7 linked regions of the Solanum lycopersicum genome follow. The protein of the gene in region 6 interacts with the protein of the main gene of each other region in a pairwise test. Links are inferred from orthologs where the notes say so. Each region holds a gene or a part of one and is shown on either strand. Other genes may lie near its edges. The genes, in order: homeobox protein ATH1, B3 domain-containing transcription repressor VAL2, BL3, TCP21, CAND1, KN1 and Hop-interacting protein THI119.

Region 1 (3,927 bases), on a different chromosome or scaffold from region 6:
ATTTTCAAAACAGATTGTCATAAAACCGAAAACTAATCATCAAATGCTTGTCAACTCACCACTTGCAACAAAGCTACCAGATTCTTTTTCTTAGCTTCACAACCCATCAGACCATCAGGTGAATCATCAGAACTCATGGCTGCATAGCCCCTTCCAGCATCTGAATTCAAAGCAAATGAAGTGTTTGCACCATTCTCCGTCCCATTTCCTCGATAGCCTACCAAGTTATGATTTTGAAGTGATAACTGAGCAATTTCAGAGAGTATTTCTTGCATTACACGGAGATATCTTGATCCAGTTAAGAATTGTGAAAGGTAGACAGGTTTGTATGAACCAAAGCTTAAAGACAGATTTCTGCTGTTGCAAGAAGTTAACTCTGAATCAAAGCGTCTTTGAGGGAAAGCATGGTTGGTTACACCGGAGCAACTTATATCCGAGCATTGGTCCCGGATAGTAGTCCCACATGCAACAGCAGATTGTGATGTTGTGAGACTTAGACAGAGGTCGTTGCTAAATCGGGAGGATCCAGAGGGACTATCAGAACTCAAACTAGCTGTTTCTGATGAGAACCATGTGTTTGAATTCACATTTTCAGTTAATTGGAAAGGCTGAGATCCTGCTCGTCCTACAACCATCCCACCAATTTCCGAAACACCATCAAACTCATAGTTTCTGTAGGATCCAAATGAATGATTCAACACATTAGGATAGTCTAGACCATCCATTTTCTGGCCTTCTGTAGGATGTGATAACGGAGCTAGTACCGCTAAATTTTCAGGATTCTCGTGCATAGCGTTCCTTGCAGCCAAAAGATTAGCAAGAGACACAGCAGAAATTGGTATACCTTCCATATATTGATCATCTGCGTAAGCATTACTGATTGGATAAGAAGTACTCACTGAATACTCTTTTATTCTGTTTCTCCCAACCGGCAACACATTATGAATTGCTTCAGTGTCAACAGGTCGAGGAAAATTAGGTACATTTAGAAAACCATGAGAGGTGTTTACGGCTTCACCTTGCAGCATAAAAGGATAAGGAATTCCATGTCCATCCATGATCTGGTTTTGATTGTTCATACAAACTGTTTCGGGAAAACTAATGGGAACAATAGTCGTATGAAGAAAATTTTCATCTATAATCCGAAGAGGCTCTGCCATTTCTAGTTGAAATTTGAGTTCCACATCACTTGAGGATTTTCTATGAAACAACAAAGACAAGTGATCAAGCTAACAACAGCAGCTCAATGAAACCTTGATAGTTCACACTTGTATACTTTTGGCTGAAAAGAATTGCCTATAACAAGAAAAATGTTCTATTAATACAACTTAGATAACATCTCGAAGGATTTTCTAGAACAGATGGATGGTAGAGGAAAACACCTCTACTAAATTTGATCATTTACATCCAACTAGTTGACTCAAAAAATTGCTTTAAACACTAAGGATGGGACAAGACATTTTCTCTTTTTTCTTGTTGTATAGTCATTACCATCCAACTTTTTTTTTTTGGTCTCTTTACATTGATCTGTCTATGTTAACAGAATTATTAGGCAGAATCATATCAAAAAGTTCATGTGCCTAAATATTACTATTTCAGTCCCACAACCTGATCTTGAATAACAGTAGAAAAAAATGGAAAACAGGCAATCTGCTGTTTGATGTACAAAAAACAAATATAGAGAGAATCAAACATACATATTTCATAACTCTTAACTCAGAACATACATCCATTAACTTCCATAAATCTCCTTATAATGGAGATGGTTAATTTGCCAAATTCAAACTAAATTGCATAGACTCTTCACTTTCCATGCCACGCTCTAAAAAAATATACTACAAACACATGTCTTTTGATATCTTTGAAGAGTCTAAACAATATACGTTAAAATAGGATAAATGAAACAAACATCATGTCAAAACAACAATTATCAAGGTTACTTCTCCTTTAGTCACAAATGAAGTGAAAGTGTTAGTCATAAATATGGGACATGTCAAGTAGTTAGATAGTTAGCTTATATGTACTTAATAATAGTAAAGCAAAGAACATGAAAGGGTTAAAAAAATAAAATTGTTTCACCAAATCATAATTGAGCTTATAAAACACATCCAAAATAATAATAATAATAATAGTAGTGAAAGAAAGAAGGAAACCAAGCTTGGTGCCAAACTTCCACAAACTGCAGCTTCTTCAAAATTCCTCTTAAAATAGAATTCCAAGGTTGTTGCCAAATCCAAATATAGAGAAAAATTTAAAACAAATCATTGGGTTTTTTTCCCTTTCACCCCAAACAATGTTTAATCAAAAGACCCCTTTTTCTCCCCTTTAACAATAATAAAAATAAGAAGGGTAAAAAAAAGAAAAGAATAATGGTAGGACTAGTACAATATATCAACCCCACAACACAAAACCCACCCCCAAAAAACTACAAAAAAAAAAAAAAAAGCAATGCAAAAAGTAAGATGTTTTGCTTGCATGAGGAAGAAAAGCAAGATTTTTATTCAGAACCCAACACCCAAGAAACTCAGAAAATTCAGAATCACCATCTTCCTCACAAATACATTATTTTATTAAAAAGAGGGTTTCTTTTTTTTGTTTTTTTGGGGGGTCATTATCCAAAGGGCATGAATAAATCACAAAGAAAAGGGGTAAAGAATGTGTGTGTGAGTGAGAGAAGTGTTAAAAGCCAAAAAATGTGCTTGTTGGTTTTGCAGAGAGCAGCTGAGAGATGAATAATTACATGGATTTATGGACCCATTATGAAAAGATAGCTAAGAGAAGAGCCACACAAACGCAAAATAATCATTCACATTTCATGCAATACTATACAATTTTGCAAAAAACATACTATAGTGTGCCTCATTTTGGGGCCATTTCGTTTGGATTCAACCCAAATATAACGTTACACTGAGTATGTACATTTTTACTTCATAAAGATCGAATATATTGAGTATGTTATTATTATTTAATTTATGCGTACTACAAAAAAGATAAATTTATTGAGACAGTCATGTTTTTGAACTAGTCCAATTTTAACTGAGCATATAATCACGATAAAATGTTTTTGTTATGTATATTCTTAAATATTTATCAAGTAAATAAATTAAAATTTTGCCATTTACACATTTGTGTCAATATAAAATCTCCAAAAAAAAAAAAAGATTAGTTAAGATTGTAGAATATAACTAAAGGAAACAATTTCATTTGATTAACTTAATTACATAAGAAAACGGACAATCGTAAATTTAAACGAAAAGGGCTCAATAGGAACACTTTTACTTACCAATTTCCTCTTAGTCGTCTCCATACTAATTACAACCCTAGTGTGTAATGCTTTTAACTTACCTTAATTTTGAAAAAGGTAAAAGTGATCAAACCTTAATTTTGAAAAAGGTAAAAGTGATCTAATTGATGAAGTATATCGGATGCTATATTCCACACAAAATAAGATTTTATGTAAAAAAAATTTGATTACATCCAAAGTATTTTGACATTATAAAAAAAATTGATTATACTTAATATGCGTTTGGCCATGCGATATCATATCAACGACATGGTATCGTGAAATGTAATCAGTATTTGGACATGTCATTTTATGTTGATTTCATTATATGATTCCTTATCATGAGATGTGATATCATATCCTCCAAAAACCATGATATCGAATCACATGGTGATGCCATATCATGATTTGAGATGTTATAATACAAAATGGCCAAATACATAAGTAGATCCCTAAACTTATTGGATTTTTTCCTTCATGTACCTCAACTACGTCATTTTCCTATTGAATTATTGAACCCCCATAATTTATTACGTCTAAACAAATACCGTTGTCTGATGTGGAATCAGATTTGTGAGGGGTATTGATAGAGGATACATATGTTGTTCCACAAATCATTAGTCCAATTGATAGTGAAAATGTTT
Region 2 (3,982 bases), on a different chromosome or scaffold from region 6:
GTTAACATATGCTAGCGCAAGTTGGTCCTCGAACCATCTTAACTTTTTAAGAAAAAAGGGCTCAGAAGTTTCCGTTCAACCCACTAATGGCAGTGGTTTGTGATTTTGCCACTCAATACTGAAGAGAATCTTGCTCATTAATGAATGGGCAGGCTCCTGAGTCAGTGATACAACTCTACAACTACGTGGTCTTCAATTCTAATTGGTTACCACCATATTCCAATATATCGCCATTGAATCTTTTTAATTATTTTTTTAATAATAGTGGTGTCCGATTCAACTTGTGCTTACATCGACTATACCAGGAATTGCTTTGGCATCAATAAGTTTTATGCAAATGTGTCTACACTAGAAGCGTTCCAGATATAATTTCTCAAACTGGATGCCCTAAGACTCTGCATTAGTTTCAGTTTTCAGTTTATGGTGAAACTGTCATTAGCTACATTTTATTCCAAAGTTAAAGTGAATGTTTTTCCTTTCGGCAATGCAGGCGGTAGATTGCAAAAGATCTAAGTTTATCATGAATTTAACTACCAGTCATCTATCCTGACCAAGAAACAAAAGATAAACAGAAAAATAACAGAAGTAAAACAAACAAACAAAACAAAACAAAAGGGAAAAAAATAACAAATATTAATAATAAAATAGTTTCATTCCATCAGCACTGTATTATTTACTGTAAGTGAAATCACTGCATGCAATCTCTATTTCATATAAAGGCCAAAAAGAGCAAAAAAAGACAAAGTTGCTCCACAGTAACTTAACATGGAACCAAATAGACAATTCTGGAAAGAAAAAAAAAGTTATGCCATCACTTCAACACAGGGGCGGAGCCACCTTATCACTAGGGATTCATCCGAACCCCCTTCGGCGGAAAATTATATTATTGTTACATGGTTAAAATAAATTTTTAGGTATATACGATAGATGTCGAACCCCCTTCGGCTACTTCATGTGTTTATTTCTTCAGATTCTGAACCCCCTTATTAAAAATTCTGGCTCGCTTCAACGGCCTCACTTAGATCATAAGCCCATGCTCCTGATCTCAGCCAAGAAAAACCTCCCTATGACACAGCAAGAATCACAGATAATACAAATCCTTAGGAGAACGTAAGCAGGTTAATCTGCACTGACTTCCTAAAAGACAACAAGTGAAACAGAAAGAAGAAGGATTATCTTTCCCACATTTTGATCTTGCAGGATCTTTAATCTTTCCAGAACTAGAGTCAGTTTGAGCAACCATTACTAGGGTGCATGAACTGGACTAGGAACATATTATCCCAATAGAATTAATTCTCTCAAATTGAATATGCAATCTCTAATTTGAAAAGGTAAAGTAATTGTTTAGTCGAATTAAAGAACAGTCGGATAAAAGAACATGATTTAGCAAATATCTTTCAGCAAAACAAAAAGGATAATTCTCCGAGCTGCTACAGTATTCACCAACACAGTAACCTTAACATAAACACAGAAACTGTTCAGATTGTAAATACTTCTTCCGTTTCAAAAAAGAACAATCAGCTCAATAAACAAATTTCAAACCATCTCAATTAGTAGGACATTGATTCCTTAATCTTTTCTCGAATAAAATAAGCAAATTCAAAACCTATACAAAGAGTATATAAGTCAGAACATTTTTACAATGAAAAATCACTGTTTGACATTCTAAATGGTAATGTTATCATATAAAATGATCAAACAGAGTTGAGCACTAGGCAAACCAGTTTCTACAAAACAAAAAGAACAACAAAACTGAATTTACAAACATATATAAATTAAGTATAAAGAGAGAGTGAGATCTGAATTGAATTACCCGCACTTATCACAGAGGGTCGCAAATTCACCAGATCGCAAAGGCCACCCTTTTTTCCACTCAATTGAAGAAGTTGTCCCACACAGTCCATTCATGCAAATCTTCGACTCCATTCCTAAAATCCTTACCTCTAATCAAGCCCTAATACAGCATAATCTTCCTCTTAATACTCCATACGCAAAACCCAAAAAAAAAAAAGTTTTTTTTTAAAGCTAAAAATGAAGTCTTTAGAAAAACCCAAGTATGAAATAGTTGAATAATAAGTGTGAAGCAAGAATCTTGAAAACAAAAGTTAAAGACATAAAACTAAAGCTAGTAAGCTGCAGTGTTTGTGGGTCTGTTTTAAAATTTGTGATAGAGAAATATTAGGGAAGTTTGTTGAATTTCCGGTACCGGAACGGTGGAATTGGGAGAGAGAGAGAAGCGTAAAGTGTAAAACAGTTCAAAAATGGAAAAGGGGACATGCAGGGAGGGAGAGACTTGAAGGGTCAGCAAAGGTCGCCCGCCTTTCTCTTTCAGTTCTTCTTCCACTAACGTCTCTCTCTGCTCAATTTCTTTTTCACTTTATCATATCAGCTTTTCTTTTGAACATTGAAAAGAAAGCTTATGTTTATATAATTTGATCAAAAACATACAAGTTTTGTGACTAAATGCAAAGTAATAGTTAAGACCAACTATGTTGTAACCTCTCTCGTTGTTCTAGAAGAGATAGGATTAAAATAGGTACATTTGGAAGTGGCTTTGGTGCGGAAGTTAAAGATCGAGATAATTTTGAACATTTGAAAGTGATATGTTTTGATGTTCTAGTGTGGATGTGTGAGTGATTGGCTATAGATAATTTATATAAACAGAGATAAAACGAGAAAATAGTAGAAATGAATGTGTATGAATGGACGTGTGTTGATGAGGGCTGGAAATAGATGCTTAGGATCTTACGTAGAAAGATTAGGGAGGACACAAATTAGGATAGAAAATTAGAAGGTCATCGTGTGTTGTTTTATCATCTGTTCATATTAGTAGTTAGTGTTGCACTCGTAATTTCTAGTTCTTTGATTTTTATTACTTATTATCTTATATTTTTGGTCATCACATGATTCAATTATAATCATTGTCTTGTTACCATTAGTTATCTTGTTTGTATAATATTTCATGTACTTTAATCCATAATAATATCTCTATTTTTAGGTAAAAGATGATACATGCATACATTATATCTTTTCTAGAATCTCCGTTGTTGTTGTTATTAGTGTAGAGAAGTTTTGTGTGTGAAAGAAAATAACTTGAAAAAATAGTAATAATCAACTTTTCACAATTTAAAATCGATTAGAAAATAACTCCCCTTAAAAAGTAAGTACGAAATTTGAAAGCTTTACAAAGGGGTCTTAAACGGGTTTTTTAATGAAAGCTCTACAAAAGGGTCTTAAACGAGTTTTTTAATAAAAAAAGTGTTTTGTACATTTTTCTCTAAATTTGATTTATTTTTCTTTTTAGTTACCTCAAACAAGAATGACATGTTTATATAGCAAGTAACAATTTAACATTAAAATATTTATTTTACTTTTTATAAAATAACTTATAACAACACAAATATCTACTCTCTTCGTTAAAAAAAGGATATTAACGAAAAGGATGACCTAGTTTGACTTATAATGAAATTTAAGAAAAGAAAGAAGACTTGTTAATCTTGTGGTTCTAAATTAAAGTTATGTCAAATATATCAAAATGTTCTTTAATCTTGTGGTCTTAAATATGTCACATGGAAAGTTAAAGTTAAATTATTGTAAAAAAAAAAACGAAACATTCTTTTTTAAACAGATTAAGAAGAAAATAAAATCTTTTTTTTTTAAACACAAGAAATATCACTTATCTCAAATAAATTTCAAAAGTTTTCTTTTCATTTAAAAATTTTCTACCGATTCGAACTAACTCATATAAAATAAAATAAAAAACGGTGCAATAAAACAAATGGCTCATTTAGGAAGTGGGAGTCCTAATCAAAAGGACAAAAATCCACTTTGCTTTTCAAGTATGGTTCTTTTGGCTTAGTGTGTACGATAAGATTAGAACTAAGATTAATCATCATTGCGTAATTAAACAGATAAGTAAACAAATCAAAATTAGTTTATTCAATCCCCTAATTGATTACTTCTTCTACGCGTGCTATATCCT
Region 3 (4,180 bases), on a different chromosome or scaffold from region 6:
ATCCATCTTGAGATCCAACATTTTCTTCTTCTTCTTCTTTTGTTTCTTCTAAGTACATTTCTTCCACCATTGGCTTCCATAGCCTTACCCTTGCATTAATGAACCAATTAGACACCTGCCCAACAAAAATACATTCAATCTTACGTGCATCACATCAAAGTTATATATACTGACAATATAAACAATTATACTATATGTACTAGTAAAGAGTATGAGTGGCGATAAAAATCTACATTACCAGATCACTTAAAAGATGACTATAAGTACAAACTGAACACAATCTTTTATAATATGTCAAAATGCTCATAATAATTCTGTCACTGTTAGTGCATATAACTTAAACTCTACATTTATATCAATGATGATAACTAGAAGTGTGTAGCATGATAAAAATGATAATTAACTGGTCGATAATGTAATTCTTTTTTATATTATCACTTTGTCAGTGCATATAACGTAAACTCGATGTTACACCTATATCATTAATATGTTATGGTGGAGAAAAGGACATGCCTGGCTTCTTGAAAGACCAGTTTGGCGAGCTAAAATGTGTTTATCAACATCACTTGGGTACCTGCAAGAATATATTTTCCATAAAGAAAGTAAATATAAATTGTACTTATACTATAGTTTATAATAACATATGTTGTACTTTCTATGTTATGTAACAAAATAAAATCAACAAAAATTCTATAGTCAGAGTAGTTATGATATATAGTATAGTTAAAACCGACAAAGGAAAAAGGAAAAGGAGTTACTGTAACAACAAATTGAGAGCAACTCCCAAAATATTTAGCTATTTTTGTGAACAATGATTGATGGCCCATAGAAAGATCCTTGGTACTACAACTACAAGTGGGGTTATATTATTTTCTTCTTTTTTAAAATAAAAAAATAATTTTTTTTTAATAATAATCTATCACTTAAAATAATAACGTTCAAATACATAATACACAATATTTATAATAACATATTCAGTGTAATACACAAGCAGAGTCTAGGAAGGATAGTATGTATACAATTTTACCACAACCTTATGATCAGGTAAGATACTATTATGATAAACTCTCGACTCAAGTAATAAAACAAATACAATACTTAGCAAGAGAACTAGACAAGTTCAAATGTATAATATAAAAAAAATATACATAATTTATATTTAACCAAAACAATATAGTGACATACCATAAGTTTTAAAAGGTAAGTTGAATTCATCAAATTTAAATTTTGAGATCGGACTTACGGGTGGAGAAAGTGTTCAAAGAGCCACGCGCGGAGGACGGAGACTGATCTTTCCGGGAGACCGCGTTGCGGTCTCCAAGGATGAGTCTCCATCATATTCATTTGTTGGAAAGCCTTTTGTTGCCTTAAAGTTTGATCAAGAAGTCTGAGTCTTGGTGTTTCACCTCTTGTTGAGCCAGGAATAAGAGTAGTAGTACTGTCCTTTTCTCCCATAGCCATTTTTGTGGCCTTAATTTGTGCCACAATACCATCTCTTAAACATCTAAAATGCCTTGACATAGCTCTTGATGCTAAGGCTGAGTAAACTGTTGCTGCTCCATTTCCAGCCACTGCTTCAAATGATGATACAACACCCTTCATTTGATCACAATAATGCTTGTACCTTCTATCCACCTACACATAATCCAAAAAAAATTGAATCTTTTTTGCCTAGTGAAGTATGAATAACAACAACAACATACGTAAAAAGTAGGGTCTGGAAAGGATAGAGTAGAGTACTGTATAGACCTTTACCTCGGGAGGCAGAGAGGTTGTTTCCGATAGTGTGATGAAAAAAGGAGAAAAGGGTTATAGAGAATTAATGGAATAGTGAAATTGTCACCATGTGGGCAATTAATGGAAAAGGGCATATTCAGCCTCAAAATTAGTTCACCAAGATTTTGAACAATTAAAAAAAGAACTTTTTTTCAACAATTTCATGTTAAAAAGAAAAAAGGATTGAAAGAATATATATATATATATGATATACCTCTTCAAGCATTTGAAGCAATTTTGTTTTTCTTTTTTGAAGTTCCAAAAGGTCAAGAGACTGTAAAAGTTGCTTTTTTGAAGTAGTAGCAGTAGTGTCATGTTGCTTTAGAAGTAGTTTTGAAGAAGAATGATCATTATTCTTCTTTATTCCAAGACTACAGAACTCACTGAGCAACTCCTGAGCTGGACCTAGATATTTGGAGTCCCTAACTTGATGATAATGATGAAAATACCCTTGTTGTATACTTGTAGATTTACCCAAAAATCCATCATGTATTAGTCCTTGTTGCAAATCTTGATGTCTAAGCTCAAAAGATTGTAAACCAATACTTGATGGATTTGATGAACAAAGAGATAATGAAAGTCCTTGACTTGGCCTTTCATTTCCTTCACAAGGGAAAACACATCTCATAGATGGATCATCAACAAGTAATGTCCTGTTATTATCATGATGCCATGAATCTTGATGACTAGTTGTTGTTGTTGCCAACATAGTTTCATGTTGATAAAATTGTTCACTAATGTTCTTAGAAGACGAAGGACCGTGATCATCATCATCATCATCAACAACAACACCATTGATCTTGTTAGGAAAATTACCTTTCCACAACACATGATGAGGATTATTGTTGTTTGGTGGAAACCCTATCATCATTTGATCCATACTAGAAGTAGTACTACTACTCAAATTGTACAAATCTGGATTTGTTTCAAAGTTTTGCAACTGATGATTCACAATATTGTTATGTGGTGTTGGATTTTGATTATTTGTATCTGATGAAAACCAATAACCAGTACTAGTAACCATTGATGATGATCTTGGTTTAATCTCTTCGCGAATAATACTTTCTTGATGATGACTAGCCATCTAGCTATATATACATATAAAGATCTCAGCTTTATAACTCTTTAAGTACTTTCATGATTCTGCAACAAACAAAAATCCCATCAAGATCTGCATATCTTTTATTAAAACAACCCAAAAATGGTAAAAAAACATCATAAGTAGAGTGAAGAACATCAAAAGGCAAAGATCAAGTGAACTAGAAATAATTTTTTTACCTTTTTTGAACAAAAAAGATTGAATTTTTACTTACTCAAGTGTTTGTACCAACATAGATGACTAGTTAAAAACTTCAAAGCAAGAAAACATAAGGTAAAAAATAAAACATCAAGTGAACTAAAAACTAAAAGGGGTTTTTACTTACCTTTTTTTAACCAAAAGATTGAATATTTCCACTAGTTAAAAACATCAAAACAAGAAAACAAAAGGTAAAGAATAGATCAAATGAACTAAAAACTTAAAGGGGTTTTTAGTTACTATCAAAGTTAACCTTTTTTCAACAAAAAGATTGAATTTTTACTCACTCAAATGCTTATATACCAACATAGATGACTAGTAAAACCTTCAAAACAAGAAAACAAAAGTTTTAAAAAATGATCAAATGAATTAGAAGTTATCTTTTCTCCAACAAAAAGATTGAATTTTTACACACCCAAATGCTTGTAGATTAGTTAAAACTTCAAAATAAGAGAACAAAAGGCAAAAAAAAAAAAAAAGAAAAAGAAGAAGATCAAATGAACTAAAAACTAAAAGGGTTTTTTAGTTACCATCCTTTATTAAACAAAAAGATTGAATTTTTACTCACTACCAACTTGTTTTTGCACATAAAACATCAAAACAAGAAAAGAAAAGGGAAGATCAAGAAATGAACCTTTTTTTTTCTCTGTGTTGTTTTTTTTCTCAAACAAAACAAGAAACATGGTGTACAATGAAAAAAAACATCCTTAGAAATTAGTGAGGATGATGAAAATCAGATGAAGGAGAAAACATTATGGATTTTCCAGAGGTTAAGGAGAGAGAGAGAGAGAGGCCTAAGGGGGTGTGTGATGATGACTTGTAAACCATGTTTTTTCATTGATATATGCTTTTTTGCTCTTACTTTCTCTCTCTCATGCAAAACAAGATAATCAATACGTACAAAATAGACTTCCTAGGAAGAAAATCAAATCAAATTAAAAAAAATACCCCTCTCCCTCTTCAATAATTAATCCTTAAATTAATTAAAATTGAATTCAATCAACGACAATAACATATTCGATATAATCCTATTAGTAGAGTCTAATGAAAATAATTTGTTCCCACCCCGTCTTCAATATATAATCTAAGTCATTATTCTAGTATTCC
Region 4 (3,031 bases), on a different chromosome or scaffold from region 6:
CACCCCTCTATCCATCTTTAGTGGGCCCTACTCTAAAGTCACATGTAATTTATGAAGTAATCCAAGTGCACGGGCCAAATGGACCCAAAGATAAGAACCACAGTACATACACAGTTACAAAAATAGCTTATATGTATTCTTTATTTATTGAAAATATATATTATATATTACTTTCTCTTCCGATATTGTTTGTCATGATTTCTATTTTTAGAGTCAAACTATAAAAACTTTGACTAACACATTTTTTCATCATATTAATATGTAAAAAATTATAATTTATAGTACTTTTCATATAGTTTTAGAATATCTAATTTTTTTATTTAAAATATCGAATTAATATGATCAAAAAATTAGTCAAATTGAACATGACAAACATTTTCTAAAGGATCGAGTTTATGTTAGTACAAAATTTACTTTTTTTTTAAGAAAAAACTACTAATGGATAGAGCACATTAACAAGCACTATAATGCAAAGAAAAAGTTGAGTGCCCCAAAACTAAGAAAACAGCAAGTTGACATTTAACATTGACGAACCCATGTCACAGCAGAGCAACTTCCTTTCCTAGATGCTTACAAGCAAAATGTTAAAATAATCTTTTGAAAAAACTAGATGCTTATCCAGAAGAGATTAACAAAAAAAGATAAATTAATGGGTCTTAGAACCCTAATCAGGATTTAGATGAGGAAGTTTGATCAATTTCACTGGAACCAGAACCAACCATAAACTGAAGCTCTCTCTTGTCATAAATCTCCAGTGAGAAATCTCTAAGCATCTGTGTAGAACTAGAACTTGGAGGCATAGCTGAAGCAACTGTGCTTAACTTGCCTCCATTGTTATCACTTTTTGACACACAAGCAGCAGAGACCCCTGTTGCTGCATAAGGTACATTAAGTATTGGAGTGGCCCACAACTGAGCCCCAGTAGCAGCAACTGTTGTATTAGTGCCTGGCGGTAGCATATAGAAAGTTGCCCCACCGGTAAATGCTGTGGTGGGAATAAGTCCATTCCCAGAGCCCACTGGCCAAACAGGAACAAGACCTTGTGGGGCAATGGGAGCCACCGGTGCAAAATTTGACGCCTCATAAAACTCGCTATTTGCAGCCCTTTTCCTTCTCTTCCTCGAGCTTTCTCCCTCGTTGTTTGACGTCGGTATTTTCAGCGTTCCGTTTACTGATACCGCGATGGCCGGAACCGTACCCGTTCCAGTAGCGGCAATGATGGCTGGCTCGGCGCGTTCTAGAAGCCATCTTATAGTTTCACCTTCCGATTTATGACCTAGTTCCCGCGTTAATTGGAAGATTCTAGCAGCACAAGCCGCCGGCATACGGATTCTCCGACCACGGCCTTCCACTTTCGTGTGCCGGTCCTTTGAGGATCTTTTCACCGGTTGTTTCTCTACCTTCTGCAATTGCATATTCATCCCAACCGACGTAGAAACTCGCAAATCATTCTCCTCCGGTTCTTCCTTTAACAACAGCACCCTATCAGTGGACGCCGCCGGAGACGGATCCACCCCTTCCGCATCGGTGACATTCCCTACCGCTGCAATGGTGTATTCATGAGAATCACCAAGTAACGGATCAATCTTACAGTCGTTCACCTCGTCATCTTCTTGTTCAATGTTTTGGTTGTTCTCAACCCTCGCCATTTTTCAGAAAAATCCCAAACACAGCTGCAAATAGCTGAAACCCAAAAAAATTTAGAGCTTAAAAAAATAAAAAAGGAGGATTGAAATAACTACAGTACCCCACTGTGTACTTAATGAAAATTGACACAAGGAGAAATTAATATAGAATTACGCGACGAAATTAAAAATTTTATTTGGACATATGATATAGAATTTTAATGTTGTGTATTTTTTTTTAATATAAATATAAGAATCTCATAAATTCTAAAATTGTTAAAATAGCTTTAATTATTTATTTTATATTATTAAATAAATAAAAATCATAAAATTGTATAATAAATTATTGCAAAACTATTTGTTCTTCACTTAATTAATTGTTTCATCAATATATTTGAGTTAAAATGAAACATGACGTGAAATTATATTGGTGAAGTGTGAGTTAAAGTGACTTATGTTGATGAGAATTAAATTTTTTTATGTCAGTGAAATTAATAAATTTTAAAACGTTATGACGTGATTATAAATTTTATTTAAATGTGAAATAATAGTTAGTATATAGAAATGTGGGGTTGTTTGAACAAAATATAAATTCGTGAATTAATTTTTGTATTTAAATAACTCAAATCATGATATTGTATTCTCATATGATTCTATACCATGATTTTTGAAGAATATGATATCAAATCTCATTATATGAAATCACGAGATGTAATCAGCATAAAATCATATGTCTAAATGCTGATTTCATCTCACGATACTATATCACATGGCCAAAACGCCAACTAAATTTAATTAGAACTCTAAGAAAATTATGTTAGGTAAAAAGTTTGACAAGACAAAGATCAAACTAGAGCTTAATATATTGATGTTATTTTATTTTGATGCCTGATATTTTTTAGGTGAAATAATTTATAATATAATAATTAAAGATATTTATTTTGATAATTTAACCCTAAATTGTGAAAAAAAATAGTGTGAAGTTCAATAATGGGCTTCACATGACGAATAAAATCTAAATCTATCAATTGTTATTTTCTTTGCTAGGTTCTCTTGCTCTTTGGATTTCTTTCCTTTTATTCTGCCCGATTTTCCCACATAATTATTAATAGAAACAAACACATGAAAAATAAAAAATTATGATTGAGTGTTATAAAAAATTATTACATGATATTTATAAAAAATTATTTGTTCATTAAAGAATATAACTTTTAGGAAGAGTCACCTCTGAAATTTTATTAATATAAAGCATTTCGGGAAGTAAACTAAAAAAGATCTCCGTAATAAACAAAACGATTTGTTGTATGGAATTATTTATACTTAACCCACTATTTACATGAGGAATATCTCTTTAAAGAACGCAATTAGACACTTCAAAACCATCTTCTTTTGCAATTATATTTCTT
Region 5 (3,500 bases), on a different chromosome or scaffold from region 6:
TAAAATGATAATAGAAAACACAAAATTGGACAATTTAAGTTATATAAAGAAGCAATAGCAATGACCTACCTTGATTCATTCAGATCAGTCTGTCCTTTCGTAACATTGCCTGTTTGTCGCAACAATTCAGTGAATGTACTGAACACATCCATCTGTCGAGCAAGTTTTGAGTCAATTAAAACCAGATCGTTAAGGGAATTCAAAAGACTTCCAATTTACCTTAACATTCTCTTCCCTTTCTTTAAACCTATCAATCAACTTTGGACAAGCCTGCAAAAGATTAGAGTCAGCATTATAAATTTATTATGACTATGAGACAGATGTACTGTAGCAGTATACAGAAACATTTCAACTTCAATAAGAAATGAGAGCTACATCTGCACGACACACTAGAGAGGAAAATATAATGACAAATAGAGGGTAAACACTTATATTAAACTACAAATATATAATAGCTTGAAGTGAGACTAACTAGGTCATACTTCCTGGTTATACCTGCTCGTACAACTTTGATAGCATCTCAGGCCGTGTAACTACCAATGCAGCTAAGCATTTGGCAGCAGCTCTTCTAACCTTCCAACTGACATCTTCATCATCCGTGTATTCATTAGCACTCTCACTACAACAAAATTTGACAAGTGATTTGATTAGTAAGAAGAACCTAATGAGTCTTAGCAAAGATCCAGAACGTGAGTGAACATACTCATCTTCATCTTCCTCAAGAATTTCTTCATCAATATCTTCGTCCATATTGTCAGTGAAGTTGGGATCGTAGCTGAGATATTCCAGGGTGAGATGCAAAATCTCATCACAGTAGGAATAAATATCCCGGGGACACCTTAGCAAAAAGCTCTCAAGTGCCTGGAATAAAAATACTTAGGCTGCATCCAGGGGTTTAATAAGAACAGAGAAAAAAAAAATCAATTAATATAGCACCTGCAGACTATATTCACGAAGCTCCTCATCATTTTCAGATGCACTTGTACAGTAGTTAATAAGCAATGGAACTGTATCTCCGAGGTGAGGACCAAAACGATAACCAACAGCACGGCTGGAAACACAAGTTGACAGCCCAAGTAAAAATTAGTCTACAAAATAATTGATAGTAATAGAGGAAAGCTCTCCAAAAGTAAGCACCACATCTCAGAAAGAAAAAATAGAGGATCTTGAATGAAAAAGTGACAGTCAAGAGTGTGCATGCATGTGTCCGTTTCACACCTTAAGTTTTTTCTATTTCACGTTTATCTAAGTCCAGAATCCATTTAGAAGTATCAAAACATTAAAAACTCAGCTGCAAAAGAGTGCACCCAGATACAAGTCACTCAGCCCTGTTTCGTTTCACTTGATACAAGCAAGCAGCTTCTTTAGGGCAGTGAAAAGGACACTGTCCAATGGAGTGAAGAATATTGGATGTGAAATCTTTTAATTGAGTATCCAGGATACCTACTGTTGAGAAAAGTACATTGTACTTGGGCATTTGTCTAAAAAATTATCAACGCAAACAAGTATATCAATATCATGTAACATTTGATAGGACAAAATGCAAGCATCAATTTAAATTTAGGATTTGCTACCTTGAGGCCCCGATCATCTGAATGTTAGTTCGTATCATTTCTGATTTTAAGCTCTTATTGCTTAAAAGGCGAACAACTTCAACTGTAGCCTTTGCAAGCAAATCATCCGACAAACTCGAAGACAGAGATGCTGTAAAAGAAAAAGGTAAAACTGAATTTACTGAAGAAAAGTTGAAATCTCGGCCACCAGTCCAACAGTACATGATAGTCTATGAAATCTTATTAACTCATGTGTGTCTGCAACGAATATTGCAATTACTATCACCCAAAGCATCTACGACTAAGAGGGTATTTGGATTGGCGTAAAAGTTGGTCAAACCTACTTTTCAGACAATTTTTGACATCTGAAAGAGTTTGGCAAATATATAAACACCATAAAAATAAATTGGGGAATGTTTGGCAAAGTTAAAAATAACTTAAAATGAGTTCTAAATGACTTCAAAAAAGTTAAAAATACTTATTATTTTTTTAGACTTAAGCTACTTTTTTAAAGCCAATCCAAACGGGTTTTAAGCAATCAAACAAACCCTGTTTTAATGAGTTACACTCTCCATTCACAATTTAAAATACATCCAATAAATAGAAGCTAATAACAAAGTTACCTATACATGAAACGGTCTTCTTCCGGACACTAGCTTGATTGGAACTTAGTTGGGGCAATAATGAAGTTAACAAAGACTCATGGTCAGTGTCCATCAAATTCCCATACTTGTGAAGAACATCACATAGTATGTCAAGACATTCACATTTAATCTCAGTGCTCATTCCCTGGAAGGGAGACAACAATAGAGAAACTTATAAAAAAGAAAAAGTAACTACAAATATGTGTGCATTTGAAAATAAACAAGTAAAAGAGTGTTAATTCCCCAAATATAAGGCTGATAAGAGAATATACAGAAGAATGACAGCATCACTTTTTAAAACAAATTGTGCACGCATTGACAATTCACCTACAATCCTGCCTAATGTTTCTGAACAGAACACATCATTTTTTTGGTTGAAGGCACTTGCAGATTTCTTGTATGTAGAGTGAATGATGGTTCCGCATCTATATAAGAAGTCCCTTTATGCAGAGATTTTGGGTGGAGTTCATGGAAAATCATCTCTATTTGCGTGTTTCTCTTTTTAGTAGACTTCTATATTCGACATGAGCTCATATGATAAAGAACAATTTGCGGATCAAAACCTTCTTTGTCTCGAAGGAACTAGTAAATGATAATACCTTTCTGAGGCAAATTATTCATTTTAGCTTCCTTATGTTAACCTGCACCCAAGGGTTTTGGCCTATTAGTCAATAAAGTGCGAGGACAGACACGAGATCTCGGGTTTGAATTTCATTGGAGGAAAAAAAATATTGGGTTGTTTCTTCTCATGTGTCCCCAAGCCTCGGTGGGTAGTTAACTCGGTACCAGGTGTAGATAGGAGGTCAGGTACCCATTGGAATAGGCTAGGTGCATACAGGACAGCTCAGATGTCATTGCCATACAAAATTCCCAAGCTGTCCAACATAAGAAGGTGCAGAAGGTCAATCCTATATCATCTTTCCACCTACTAGTCACCAGTATAGGTCACACTTACTACTGCAGTTAACTCAGAAGGCAATTAAAATTCCCAAGCAGTCCAACATAAGAAGGTGCAAAAGCTCAATAATCCTATATCATCTTTCCACCTACTAGTCACCAGTGTAGGCCACATATCAAGTGCCTAGGCCTATCTACTTACTACTGCAGTTAACTCAGAAGGCAATTGGTTGGCTTGATGAGGAAACACAAAGACTGAAATCCAAAATGATATAAACAAATTTAATGAGGGACAAGAAATATCGACCAGAAAGCCTCAAGATCAGAAAGGGCAAATCCAAAATCAAGCATAGGGATGTATATGTTGTAATCTTTCCATGCACCACAGTTAAACAAGATCATCTAG
Region 6 (2,303 bases):
GCAAAGTTCTAATTGTTTTATTTGTTCATTTATAATATTTCAATATCAGATGAAATTATAAGTTTTCTCTATTATTATTAGCTATATACAATATACTTTAAAAAAAGTCCATCTGAAATTAAATTTCATGGATCAACGTGTATTTGATATCAACATAAATTTTTAAGACTAAATGATTTGAACTGACAAAATGATGAGCCAATAACCAATCCCATTTTAAGCAAATTGTAATTACATCACTTAATTTTATTACCTCTACGTATGAATCTAAAAAAAATGGTGCGCACAACATTCACCTTGTGCAATACAAGGCTCACGTACCCTGGAAAACATTATCACATAAATTTGACACAACTATATGACCCATATTACCCAATAAATTACTATGCCTCAATACGAAATAAACTATATGAATTTTTACTGATCATATTTTTGATCGCCTAACACATATTAGACACTCAACTAAACTACTAGAGCCAAATACTATTAACACCATTGGATAAGTTAACACTAGATTTTGGTACACTAATAACATTACAATATTAAATACAAAAGGATTCTCACCATATACAATTGAACAAGCAATAAAATATCCTTGTGCTTAGGCCTATAAGGCTTGCTAGAAACATACATACTACAACTAATTAAAAATCCATACTATTCATACTCACCTTACAAGGAAATTAAATGTTTCTTTTTTCCCAATTAAGAAAATGTAGCATGCAAAGTTTAATTTATTAAAATTCATAAATATTACTGACCCAAACGAAAAGGGCCTTCACCCATGTAGTGACCTTCCATATAAAGAGCAGCAGCACTTTGTGGATGAAGACCATCCATCACCATAAATTGCATGTCTTCTGAAGGCTTCCAGTGTCTTTTCCTTTGGTTAATGAACCAGTTATTTATTTGTTTCTGATCCAATCCTGTTGATTCTGCCAATGCAACCTTCTCCGACTCCTGTAATATCGTAGCAGGTAACCAATCTTATTTATATAGGTCAACTCATTCTTTGTGAAACTTGTAATATTCTTCATATTGTCATAATAGAAAAGTCAAAAAATCGAATCGAGTAGACGAATGAAGTTTATCAACAAATGACATGAATGTCAGGAGTAGTTACTTAATCTACGCACCAATTATGTGATACATTGAAATGTAGCACTTTTTTTTTTATATTGATACAAGTAGAATAACAAATTATGATAAACTTTATCATATAATTTTTGAAAATATCTGAACTTTTATTTTGGAAAATTGAGTTGATCTAAATCCGATTCAGAAACAAAGATTAATCACATCGACTATTGAAAAAATGAGAAGTGACATGTACATTTTGGAACAAAGAGAGTACCATGATTACTAGATTAGCAACTAATACTAATCATACAAAATTAACTTGTTATAAAGACCTAGCAATTAAGCGATCTAATGGTATTAACCTATATTATATTTTTTAGTCCGTCCCAAAAACAAAACATCATTTTTCTATAATGAAATGATTTATAGTTCATACAAATACTTAAGATTTGTTCATAATACCACGAATTTCAAAATTTCAAAACATAGCGTTAAATCAGATAAATTGAGACAAAAGGAGTAAATATTTACCGAAGGGTATGGCCACTTGTAGTGCAACTCCCACCAAGTGATCAATTTCTGCCTAGCATCTTTGGGCAATTTCCCCTTTTTCTTCTTCTTTGAAAGTTCTTGTTTGAGGCTACTTAAATAGCCACTATATTTTCTCAACAAGTGATTCTTAAGTTCTCTATCTTCTGCTCTTGGATCTATTTCAGGAAGTTCAGTTTCTCCACCACTGTTGTCTTGATCCTCTTCTGATGATCCAACACCCTCACACTTGTCCTCTATAATCAACAAAACAACATAATATATATAGGTTAATAATAATAATAATAACAATAATTTATCTTAACCTTGCTATTATACTTGTAATCAATAGTACATCTAGGTACAAAAGAAAAGTCTCTATGCACATTTGTAATACAATACATATAATGTAAGCTGTTTATCTTGATGCAAATATTAATGATTGATTATACAACTCAACTCGATGACCTAAAGATCGCCACGTGATAATTTTAATGCTATGAGATTCCCTTCAATAGTGGAGTAAATCTAGTTATGTTTGTACAATTTGAGGTAAACCTACCTCATTAGCACTGGATTTATTTGAACTAGTATTTTCCACGCGAAGCATAAATTTAAATATACAAAATTACCACAATGTAGAAGTTTGAACTCATTATTTTGAAATATTATAAATTCATTCTAAGATAACCTTA
Region 7 (2,942 bases), on a different chromosome or scaffold from region 6:
ACAATATTGAGTAAAACCAGAAATCAGAGTACACCACATTCGGAATACAATTTCTGGAAATGTGAGAAAAAAAAATAACAAAGGGTCTAGCACAATCAAATATCAAAGGCTACTGTAACATATTTCTTGAAATTTTTAACACATGATGTTGATAAATATGGTAAATATAGGGCTCATATATCACTTCAACTATTACCACCCTATGAAGTTGCACAAGTTGCGGATTGTAACTAATAATCCCACAAAACCTTCAAAAGGATAACATGATGCAAGTTCAACAAGGATAGCAATATCCTGAATAACTGATGCAGTACTGCAACATCAGTTGAACAATACTCAGGACCATGAAGGGAAAATTACAAGCAGACGAGTATTTGTTGAGGCAAAAGATGAATAGACAATGAAAAATACACACAGTTCCTAGATAAGCAAGTTCCATAGAAAGAAATGGACCTGCAATCCAGATAGTAGATGATAAATCTCCTTTCAGGGGTACATTACTACTCTTCATCATCATGACGTTTCCTGCTCCTCTTCTCAGAACGTTTTTTGTCCCTGCCTACTCGTGCATCATCAGAGTTGCTGGCGTCAGAATCAGATGCTGAGGCTGCTGCTCTCCTGCTCCTACGCTTGTGCCTTGGAGGCGATTCATCACTTGATTCAGCAGAACTGTCCGCATGTCTATGACTTCTCCTCCTCCTCTTCTCCTTCCTACTTTTTCTCCTCCTCCGACGATCCTCCTCCTCATCTGATGATTCATCCCGTTTTCTCCTCTTTTCCCTCCTCCTCTTCCTACGCTCCTTATCTTCATCATCATCCTCCGAATCACTGTGTCCCCTCTTCTTCCCACTCCTCCTTCTCTTTGATCTACCCCTCTTTTTCCTTTTTCCAGAGTCTGACTCGTCATCAGAATCAGAATCTTTCTTTTTGTGCTTCTTAGATGATGACTTTAACTTTCTACTCACCTTCTTACCATACTTCTCAGCAATTGCCCTCTCCATTTCAGAATCATAATCAGAATCAGAACTCTCACTCTCCTCCTCTTCTTCACTGCTATCCTCGTTTTCTGCTTTCCCCTTCATCTTAGAACCATGCCCCTTAATCTTCTCCAATCCAGACAACACGGCAGCTTCTATTGCCTCTGCGTCCTTATCCTTGTTATCATCCTTAACACTCACGAAATTCCTACATTGGAAAGTGAGGTGGCCAACCCGCCCACACCTCTTGCATGCTCCACGGGTCTCATCAGCATTTGATCCAGTGATTCGAGCAAGTGCAAGCAAACCCTGAAAGCTTGCATAAGCATTTTCGGGATCTGCAGCCGACGATGGCTTCTGGTTAGACGATTTCTTGTCTTCATCCTTGCTAGGAGCATATGGGTCATAACCAATAGCACTTTGCCAGATGCCGTGCGTCTGTAGGGCTGCACTACTGTGTACCCTATTGTTCGCAGGCATGCGAACTCTACCTGCGGTGGCCGGCATGTTGACTGTTTTTCACCTGCAAGCTGTATGCACCAAAAAATTAATTTTTAAGCATTACCATTAAAATATAACTAGTTTCCACAGTCACAAAGAGCCAAAACCAGAAGTGGAATGCTGTATACACTTAATCAACATGTAAGCATCAAATTTCCAAATCCTGGCAGTTTTTTCAAGCTCCAAATTCGGTGCTAAAATCAGAAGAGAAAAAGCTGTATTCACTAAAAATCTAACATGTAGCACCAGATTTCCATACCTTAACAGCCTTACAAAGTTCCAAATTCAGAGCTAAAAATCATAACAGTCCATTTATACTGAAAATCACAACATAAGCATCATCAACACTCCTAACCCTAGCTTTTCGAAATTCAAAATGCAGATCTTAAAATCAGAACAGTAATAGGATGTGTACACCAAAATCATTAGTTAAGCATAAAAAAGTTGAAGCCTAGCTTTTAAACAATTCCCAATTTGAACTAGAAAATCAGATCAAATTCAGATAAGTTTCAAAATTAGGCCGACAACAACAATTCAATTCCACAAAGATATAACAACCCAAAATAGTTGATTTCTAAGGTAGAGGAAGATAAAACAACAGACAAATAGTGAGAGCCTACCAAAAGACCAACGAAAAACTTAAAGCCCCTTGCAACAAGATAATTAACAAAGAACTCAACCTTGAACCTAACTCAACCCAAAAAGCTAGCCCAAGAGATGAGAATTTCCCAAGCCATACAAGGAGACCAAGAGCCTGTTTGGACGGACTTATGGCTTTTGACGTATAAGCCATACGTTAGGAATTCTCACTTATGGCTTTTGGCTTATTTTTGTCTTTTTTACTTAAAAACAAGTTCTTAAGCTACTTCAACTTAAAATAAGCCAATCCAAACAGTATCCGAGATGTGGGAGACTCAACAATAATTGATATAAAGACTAATTAAAAAAAAAATCAACAGATAGTAAAAGTTCCAAAAAGACAAAAGAAATACATAAATTTAGAGCCCCTCCAATGAGATAATTGGTGTAAGCGATCTCAAATAGTTCCTACAGTTAATAAAGATGTCTATACAAATTCACCAGTCTCAACCTACTTCGGTTTGGCTACACGAATCATCAAATATCAATTCCATTCCGTCTGCCCGTTTATTCTAATACTCGATAATTTTTCTTAAAACAAGCTATAGATGATTGCACAATCAATTCAAATGAATTTAAAAAAGAATAAATCCTAAAATCGTGTTTTTTCTGCTATATCTCTAGGGGTTTTCAGATATAAGCTGTTAGTAAAAGTGCAGACCATCAACAACAACTAGCATTGTTTCACCTCAATCTCAAACCAGTTGGGTTTGGCTATACGAAACCCTCAGTACTTAGTAATTTGTCTTAAAACAAGCTAGCAGTGATTGCACCATCGACAAAAAAATCTTTTTTTTTTTCTTAAAAGAAGACATAATTAGGGCA

Evidence for each region.
Region 1: the proteins of KN1 (region 6) and homeobox protein ATH1 interact in binary tests that used the Arabidopsis thaliana proteins (3 or more experiments, as listed by UniProt). The link is inferred for Solanum lycopersicum from reciprocal best matches to the Arabidopsis thaliana genes KNAT1 and ATH1.
Region 2: the proteins of KN1 (region 6) and B3 domain-containing transcription repressor VAL2 interact in binary tests that used the Arabidopsis thaliana proteins (3 or more experiments, as listed by UniProt). The link is inferred for Solanum lycopersicum from reciprocal best matches to the Arabidopsis thaliana genes KNAT1 and HSL1.
Region 3: the proteins of KN1 (region 6) and BL3 interact in binary tests that used the Arabidopsis thaliana proteins (3 or more experiments, as listed by UniProt). The link is inferred for Solanum lycopersicum from reciprocal best matches to the Arabidopsis thaliana genes KNAT1 and BEL1.
Region 4: the proteins of KN1 (region 6) and TCP21 interact in binary tests that used the Arabidopsis thaliana proteins (3 or more experiments, as listed by UniProt). The link is inferred for Solanum lycopersicum from reciprocal best matches to the Arabidopsis thaliana genes KNAT1 and AT5G51910.
Region 5: the proteins of KN1 (region 6) and CAND1 interact in binary tests that used the Arabidopsis thaliana proteins (3 or more experiments, as listed by UniProt). The link is inferred for Solanum lycopersicum from reciprocal best matches to the Arabidopsis thaliana genes KNAT1 and CAND1.
Region 7: the proteins of KN1 (region 6) and Hop-interacting protein THI119 interact in binary tests that used the Arabidopsis thaliana proteins (3 or more experiments, as listed by UniProt). The link is inferred for Solanum lycopersicum from reciprocal best matches to the Arabidopsis thaliana genes KNAT1 and CXIP4.

What each region holds. Positions count from the first base shown.
Region 1 is NC_090807.1:54,834,227-54,838,153, reverse strand, and holds the start of homeobox protein ATH1, read right to left. Parts: upstream 2,801-3,927; 5' UTR 2,154-2,800; exon of another isoform or gene 1,297-2,153; 5' UTR 1,161-1,296; coding exon 60-1,160; intron 1-59. UniProt on the Arabidopsis thaliana protein: Transcription factor which may be involved in the signal transduction pathway downstream of the COP1 gene. Controls floral competency as a specific activator of FLC expression. Is responsive of the nuclear import of SHOOT MERISTEMLESS (STM).
Region 2 is NC_090809.1:57,733,675-57,737,656, reverse strand, and holds the start of B3 domain-containing transcription repressor VAL2, read right to left. Parts: upstream 2,801-3,982; 5' UTR 1,927-2,800; coding exon of another isoform or gene 1,905-1,926; coding exon 1,814-1,904; intron 1-1,813. UniProt on the Arabidopsis thaliana protein: Transcriptional repressor of gene expression involved in embryonic pathways, such as LEC1, ABI3, and FUS3. Repressor of the sugar-inducible genes involved in the seed maturation program in seedlings.
Region 3 is NC_090807.1:66,657,356-66,661,535, reverse strand, and holds the start of BL3 (bell-like homeodomain protein 3), read right to left. Parts: upstream 2,801-4,180; coding exon 1,991-2,800; intron 1,636-1,990; coding exon 1,244-1,635; intron 575-1,243; coding exon 514-574; intron 116-513; coding exon 1-115. UniProt on the Arabidopsis thaliana protein: Plays a major role in ovule patterning and in determination of integument identity via its interaction with MADS-box factors. Formation of complex with AG-SEP dimers negatively regulates the carpel identity process and favors the maintenance of ovule identity.
Region 4 is NC_090802.1:2,189,817-2,192,847, reverse strand, and holds TCP21 (TCP transcription factor 21), read right to left. Parts: upstream 1,691-3,031; 5' UTR 1,650-1,690; coding exon 669-1,649; 3' UTR 501-668; downstream 1-500.
Region 5 is NC_090800.1:87,675,491-87,678,990, reverse strand, and holds part of CAND1 (cullin-associated NEDD8-dissociated protein 1), read right to left. Parts: intron 2,343-3,500; coding exon 2,177-2,342; intron 1,705-2,176; coding exon 1,575-1,704; intron 1,052-1,574; coding exon 937-1,051; intron 862-936; coding exon 704-861; intron 620-703; coding exon 496-619; intron 271-495; coding exon 220-270; intron 153-219; coding exon 70-152; intron 1-69. UniProt on the Arabidopsis thaliana protein: Key assembly factor of SCF (SKP1-CUL1-F-box protein) E3 ubiquitin ligase complexes that promotes the exchange of the substrate-recognition F-box subunit in SCF complexes, thereby playing a key role in the cellular repertoire of SCF complexes.
Region 6 is NC_090803.1:63,966,059-63,968,361, reverse strand, and holds the end of KN1 (homeotic protein knotted-1), read right to left. Parts: intron 1,866-2,303; coding exon 1,612-1,865; intron 961-1,611; coding exon 754-960; 3' UTR 501-753; downstream 1-500. UniProt on the Arabidopsis thaliana protein: May play a role in meristem function, and may be involved in maintaining cells in an undifferentiated, meristematic state, and its expression disappears at the same time the shoot apex undergoes the transition from vegetative to reproductive development.
Region 7 is NC_090807.1:1,087,318-1,090,259, reverse strand, and holds Hop-interacting protein THI119, read right to left. Parts: upstream 1,485-2,942; coding exon 501-1,484; downstream 1-500. UniProt on the Arabidopsis thaliana protein: May regulate CAX1 cation transporter.